2 linked regions of the Kluyveromyces lactis genome follow. The protein of the gene in region 1 interacts with the protein of each later gene in a biochemical or structural test. Links are inferred from orthologs where the notes say so. Each region holds a gene or a part of one and is shown on either strand. Other genes may lie near its edges.

Region 1 (4,420 bases):
GAGTAGTAAGTAGTAGAAGAGTAGGGAATAAGAGTAGTAGGAGTAATGAGAATGATAGTAGTGGATCAAAGGAAATTTGAACTGGTCGACTTCTTTATATTAAAAAGGATGAGGGAACTGGCGTCCATAGATCCAATGAACAGTGGTTGGAGTGAATAAACTGTCAAAGGCAGTGAATTATGCAAGTGAGTTGTCTGTGGAAGTCAGTGTATTGTTATTAATAGTAGGCAGGCAAACAAGAGCGAATGAAAAGAATCACAAGTTAGATTGCAACTTTTGTTGTTCTCTTGCCCACCTTGCTGTATCTCTAGTGTTTTGAGAAAAGGATTGATTGGTTTTCACGTCCTTTACAAACTTAATCATCCATGGTTGTGTATAGAATTGTTGGAGCCTTCCGTCTGGGTACATGGCAGCAATATCACCCACTATACCGACTGCTGTTCTTGCAATTGAATCTTCTAATGCAACACTTGGATTATCAGCCAATAAGTTGATAAATTGGAAAATTGAACCTGTGTAAGGAAACAATGCATCTGGTTGGTCGTGTAGCCCTGTTATTATTCCTACGTATGCGTCCAATATTGATTCGTATAATTTATATTGATAATCGAGGGCATCAGAAGAGCTATAATTCGGTTTATAGTTTTGAGCCATGACGCACACGGACATAACTTGGGACAAATACTGTATAAAATCTGATCCAATGTTGGTGGCAATATCACCAAAAACAGAAAGGACTGCAGGTTGTAATTCCTTCTTCGCATCTGGAGAAGAAAGCATTTGCCCAAGAACACTCATGAACGATGGAGCGAATTTCTTGAAGTCATCCTCTAAAGAGTTAGAGATATCAGCAATTAGATTGACGGCAGTGATAGAAACTTGGGACTGTACTTGATTTAACGCATTAACCAAATATGGGGAGAAACTTTCCAAATACTTTTCAAAGTTTTTACCCAACGCAGATGCTAGAGCAGAAATAGCGTAAAAGACATCATCTTCCACGTATGTTGTATCATTCTTGCTCAAAAGTTTCATAAATAGATCCATCAACATATCTGCTACTGGATTAACAGATTGTGGGTTCTTTCTAATCACTGCAGCCAAAACAGATAAAATGTTCGATTGTAATTCATGTAAGTTTTGTCTATCTTCAGCTGTTAATTGAGCTTCATCCACTTGCATTGTTTGTCCAAGTTTATCCAAAACAAAAGTGGAAATTGAGGTAGTAGTTTCCCCGACTTGGTCATTAGCGAACTCTACTAAAGTAGTCAAAGCAGAAAATACAGATGCTCTAGCATTATATTCATTGTCTGACCTGTTTGAAGCTTCAAGCAATGCGCTAACAAGAACTGGATAATAATTGTATATCGGAGAAGAAGGGGTATCAGCTAATTGTTCGACAAGGTTGATAATCGTCCAAGAACAATTGGTAGCCACTTTTGGATGGTCTTTTAACCCGATCAAACAAGCGTTTACAACATCAGAAAGATGGTCTTGAGGATCTATAGCAGCAACGACTGAGTCTGCAATTCTGCCGATGCACCATGCTACTGTTTCCTTCACTTGCAAAACTGGATCCGTTATTAGGTTGAGGATAGGTGGTAACGCTTGATGGACTAAACTAGTCAATTGAGTTTTGTCAGGACCGTCCAATATAGAACCAAAAGCCATCACAGCCGCTTCGCGTTGTCTCCAATTGTCACTGGTGATGTTCTGTTCAACGAAGTGCAAGACAGGTTCTACTACGTAGTTACCACAGTTTTGAGCGAATAGTTGCAAACAAGCACCAGCAGACATTGCCACGTTCCAATCATCATCATCCGGATCTTCATTTTGCTTTGTTAAAAGCTGTAATAGAGTTGGCACCACTTCTTGGATGGATACTAGAGCAAAATTGTAAGATTCCAAGCCTGGGTTGGAGTACTGTGACAGTTCAAAAGCAATATCAATTTCTTCTTCACAGATGGTAGACCAAAATTCAACGGCCATTGCTGCCACCTTTTCATTGGATGATTGTATAGTAGCCACGGTCAAAGCGAATAGAGCTTGTTCCATGTAAGGTTTCATGTAGAAATAGTATAGTGACATGATTTTACAAAGACAACCAAATGCGGCCGCTTGAATATCTTCATCCGAAGCCTGGGTAGCTTCACATACGACTTGCATCAAGTAATTTCTTTCACCCTCACGTTCCATATTATTCTTAATGAATGCAAGCGAGTCAGCCAATGCATTAAGCGCGGTAAGTCTGACAATCTTAGAAGTTTCGTTCGACTGTGCACCTTGAACGATAGCGATCAAAATGTTGTTCGATTGATTGATTAAAGTTTCATCACTTTGGTCTGCACTTTCACAGATATAACCCAATGTCAACAAGGAAGCTCTCTTAACATTTTCTGGTTGTTCTTGAGCGGTATTATCTACCATAATCTTCATCAACTCTGGCCATTGATTCAATGGCAATTCGATCTCTGCAATGGCAGCGATCAACTGAGCTGAAGCGTTGGCAACACGAGTCTCTGGATCAACCAACGCTTGTAACGCAAACTGCTTAATATGATGTCTAGACTCTGCATCGACTTGCGTAGACCAACGTTGAGCAAACTGCTGGGCCTTTGTTGGGTTCTTCGAAATCAATTCGTTCTTCAACGTCAAACCTGCTAGAATTCTAGCTTCAAGACGAACGGACACATCGGCCAAGATCTGAGACAAAAGTCCAGCGAATTGCAAGAAATTATCGTTAGATAATTTCTTCAACGTCGTCTCCGCTTGAAGACGGACCGTTGGGTCCGGAGTAATGATAATGTTTTCCAAAAACTGGGCAACCTCGGAAGCTGACATAACGATTTGTAAAGGGTATTATAACTTACTAGTGTTTCCAAATCCTAGCGGGTCGTTTCAATAGTCAGTCTCCAAAATTATAGAAATAAAACAAGGAACTGCAACAGCAAACGGCAAATAATAAATTTTCACACTTGGTTCACTTTATAAAAGTATCAGTATATCGAATAGCGACGTTAGATCTTCCTTTATTCTGTAATTATTCGGCGCCTACTAACGAGTTTCTGAGTATGAACTCTCGATCAAGTGTCTCACGAACCGTTCTCCCTTGCACAAGACACCTAAACGCAAGGATACAAAGTGAAATGTTTCCCTGTTTCTTGGATCCTAAGTTCTTTTGTTTACGAAATGTTTTCTAGTTGTTTTTGTTTGATAAATAGATGTGAAGGAAAGAAATTCTTTGAAGCTTGGGAATAAGCAAAAAATAAGAAAAAGCTGTGTAGCATCTTGTAAAGCGCGTTTGTGCTACGATTTGGAGTGGAATCAGATGGAAAGTAAAAGAGTCTGTTACCCGGATATATTGCCTAGAAAACAATGTATGAACCCCATAAATGAAGAGAAAAATAGGGATCGTGCTCCTGTTTAACGGAGGGTAACTTATATACTGCTAGGGAAGAAAGAATTTTTTGCCACTCAACTGCAAATAGCCGGGTAAATAGTTGGCGTTAGCTTGTTCACGTGACTTGTAATTCGTGTTTCAAACCGAGTAATAAGGGTATTATCATTAGCTATATGGATCAAGGATAATATATATGTAGATATAGATAGTTAGTTAGATGATGCAATAACTTGCGAGACCATCCAGCTCTATGGGGCGTATTTCTTGATCAATTGGTCAACCAATTCGATGTACTGTTGTTCGGCATCTTCTTGGGAAGTGCCCTTCAACAATTCCCAGGCGTCCCACTTGTAACGGTCCTTCAAGTTGAACATGCCTGGTTTTTCCTTGGTGTTGTCACCGACGGTTGCTTGCTTGTATAGAGCATACAATTTCAACAATTCATCGTTATTTGGAGTTGATGGCAATTCATTGACAGCTTTAGCCTGCAGATAAATGTAAGATGCGGTTAGTATGATTATTAAGGGAAATCAAAAGCCATTGCAACAACGATTCCACATACCTTTTCTTCGAATAATTGAGAAACCATTGTGTTTTGAGTGAGTGTCGATATCTGACGTATTGAACTAACACTTGTCTTTCACAAATCCTTCGTTTAGTACCATGTGTAAAGCTTCTCTTGATTTTGTGCATTAGGTATTTATATGTTTTTTCTCACTGAAAACAACTTCCTCCAGTTTTTGCTTACATGGCACGAAACTTTTCATAATGAACGGCATTAGTATTCAGGTAAGATCTAACAGCTGATGCGTTTTTTGCTCCAACAGCAAACAGAAAGGACCTAGAAGCGTCTATTTAACTCGACTAGCTTTCTTATCAAACTGTCTTCATTTATTGTCAAACCCAAATGATTTATTTTGGGCAGATTGAAACTTCATTGGTCAAAACAGCTATAGAGCATTGAGTGAAACCTCTACTCGTACCTTCGATGAGCCAGTTGGGTTTCAATATCTAGTCACG
Region 2 (3,196 bases), on another chromosome or scaffold:
AATAAATGGTGCTTATGTACGAGAATCGTATCCTAGCAGACAGCATAGTCCGCGTTTGAGCCCTTCTCGCTATTCTCATCTTCAAAGTGGTAATACACCTTCCGCTCCCTCCACGCCACTTCTAATACCATCTCAACAACCTCATTTCGATCATTCCATGTTGGCCAATGCATCTAGAAATCATAATATAAGTGAGAGAAGAAACTCTCATAGTCCTATTAAACAACACTTTGCAAATAGGTTACTAAACTATCCGGATGAAACAAATGATAGCATACCCGATGTGTCTGATGACAGATTCAGAATGGATGATCGTTTCAGAAGAGGCAGACAAGGCTATTTCAATCGATCTCCCGACATCAATTCTGGTACGTTACATTACGATGATGGTGATGATGATGATAACCGTATATCAAAGTCTCCCTTTCGGAATTCATCGTCTTCACCATTTCGGTAGTTATTCACTCAAATACTCACATTCATTGAAGTTTGGTGCACTGGAATTTCTTGAGGTATCCGTAAATTATATAAACATAATACATCTCTAATTACTAAAGACAATGAGACTATAGGTCGTTCCACCCGAATAACCAATTGTTGACCCTTCCAATTAAATTTGTTGGTTGTTGGTTATTCCCATGCTGTTCCTGTTCTCGTAACTTGTTCTCCAAATTTCTTAAAAAGTTTGGACCACCATGAGGAGGGTTTGCATTATGCACAAACAACTGCTTTCCATCTTTGACATCCAATTTCCGAGTAGAAAAGGTGAACCCATGTTTATTATTATCAGCACTTTCTTGTGTCCCATTTTGTATATCAGATGATTCAGGTCCGTTTGGTTTCATCGATAAACTGAACGGGATTTCTCCGATGTCATCAGTTTTATCGATTTTGCACGAAGCCAATTGTTCTACGGCTGTTTTGCTATAAGGAACGCAGCCAATTAAACAACCTCCATAAACGGTACCATTCTCTTGTAGAGCTCTCAGAGCGGCACTAGGGGAGTCATACGTGATTTTAATCCATCCATCGCCCGTGAAGATAGGATATTTCTTATGAGGAATTTTAGAGTCCTTATTTTGAGCACGAATTCTAATAGTAGCACTGGATATGTTGTTACCTGTAACACCTCTTAGAACCTCAAGGTCCTCTAAAATATTTCCGAATTTTGAGAAATGTAATATTATTTGGTTTGAAATGGATTCTGGATATCCAAATACAATTACTGCGCTCTCTTGCGATTTTTGTCTTGATATATCATTTGTTTGATCCGCTGTCGGTTTTACAGGGGATTTCGACGCATCTCTGTCGAATGCGTTTCTTGTGCTCTTAGTGTATTCTTGAGTCAAAGGTATTTGGTTAGACGAAGGCATTGCGTTCACGTTAGTGGGGACAGACCCGAACTCATCCTCTCGTTGCCAATCATATAACGATTTTGTTGGGGGAGCTTCATTCGATTCCACATAAGTCGCGATATCAGTAGGTTGTGCAGGCTGCGTAGAGCTGAATGTTGGCTTCTTTGTGCCAAACTGGACGCTATTGAATCCGGATCTTTGGGAAGAGTTGTCATTCGAAGATCCATCTCCAGATGAGCTCGGTTTAGACGATCTTTTTATCACGGATTGTGGAATGTTTCTCTTTCTAGCTATATTATACCAGTTTTCTTCCTTTCCATTCGTGGCAGAGCTCTGTACTAGTGATTGTGAACTATTCTGCTGTTGTTGGTTTTGCTGCTGCTGCTGAGGATAATTTATTTGCAAGTTTGCAAACCTGTTCTCTTGTTGCGCTTGTTGGCCAAATACTGAACTCATGATTTAGGATTGTCAGTTCGCTTTCTCAACAATGTTTCAACAGTCAAAAATGATCAATTTATCCTACTTGAAATTGAAGAACACACCAAACCACAGTGTTACCGGTGCATATGAACATGCTACGATGATAACAGCTATTCTCATCTAATCTTATTCTTGATGTTTATTAGTTGAAATTGTTTTATTTCAATTAGAATACTCAAATCCGGGTAATGTTTGCCATTATGAACAGCTTCAGTGTATGTGTAAATTTATACATTCACGATCGATAAGATTTACCTCTATATACTGCTTTTTGATGTCTCCTTGTTTGCGGGAGATATGTGTGAAGATCTGTCCCTTGTTCGTGCAATCTCTTTTTTACCATGTCAAGTTCTTTACGCATAGTTACGTATCCTAGATGGAGTTTGCCCATGAAATGGTCAGCGAGTCTTCTATCCGTGTCTAATCTTGAAAGGTAGGCTCCACATACACGGCATACCTGTAGCTTCTGTTGTGCACTTTGGCCTGTGTTTTCGTTCATTTGCCTGCATTTTTCGCTGAGTGTGTCCCTTTCTGTTTGCAGTTTGTTATATTTACAGCTTTGAATCATCGCCTTCATAACTTCTTCGTTTTGTATAAGCATATCGATTTCTGAAAGCATTAAAGCACATTTGGATTCAAGCTGATTCACTGCTTGTAGAAGTGCTGCTAATTTCGAATGTTCCTCATGATGCTGTAACTTTTTATGTGCCATTTCAATTTGAACATCACAATCACTAAGAATCTTCTTCAAGATGGAGTAATGCTCAAGGTCAAACTCAGGATATTTCTTGCCCTTCTTTACATCTCTTTCATATTGCATTTTATGCGAGACTGAATGTATACGTGGACAATGCCCCATGGGCTGCTTGGTCTCTTGGAAAAGGTCATAGGGGCAATGACCAATGATAAATGATTTGCACGTTGATGGTGAAGTTAGCCCATGCGATGTGGCAGCCGAAGACATAAGCTGAGAAATCAGCTTGCGCTGTTCTAAAATTGCAGACATTTCTCACTTACAAATATCTCTGATGGAAGTAACACCAAACTGTTGCGTGCAGTTTGGACTCTGTGATTAACTTTTTCTGCTCTGTTGGTCAGTTCAACAATGATACTTCTTCAGTACGCCTTTTCAAGTAGCTTGTTGAAAATGCCAGGTTTAAATTCTGACGACAAAATATACTGAAAATAAATATATAATAACACAAGCAAAACATGACACAAATGGCAGTTTAGGTTTTCTAAACATGATCATTCCTATCTTAGGTGATCCTTTTGAAATAATTTGTAGTACAATTAGAACATGCAAGCTAGAAACAATGGAGCCTGTATTTTCTGCTTTAGTTATTGGAGGTAATGGTAAT

Evidence for each region. The genes of interacting proteins can lie anywhere in the genome.
Region 2: the proteins of KAP95 (region 1) and ASM4 form a complex in vitro, tested with the Saccharomyces cerevisiae proteins (2 studies listed by BioGRID). The link is inferred for Kluyveromyces lactis from reciprocal best matches to the Saccharomyces cerevisiae genes KAP95 and ASM4.

The regions. Positions count from the first base shown.
Region 1 is NC_006038.1:508,588-513,007, reverse strand, and holds KAP95 (karyopherin beta), read right to left. Parts: upstream 2,842-4,420; coding exon 256-2,841; downstream 1-255. Other genes in the region: long-chain fatty acid transporter ACB1, read right to left, coding at 3,649-3,885, 3,963-3,989. UniProt on the Saccharomyces cerevisiae protein: Importin beta subunit that functions in nuclear protein import through association with the importin alpha subunit, which binds to the classical nuclear localization signal (cNLS) in cargo substrates.
Region 2 is NC_006042.1:687,716-690,911, forward strand, and holds ASM4 (FG-nucleoporin ASM4), read right to left. Parts: upstream 1,812-3,196; coding exon 567-1,811; downstream 1-566. Other genes in the region: NUR1 (Nur1p), read left to right, coding at 1-457; LUC7 (Luc7p), read right to left, coding at 2,071-2,841; KLLA0_F07271g (uncharacterized protein), read left to right, coding at 3,080-3,196. UniProt on the Saccharomyces cerevisiae protein: Functions as a component of the nuclear pore complex (NPC).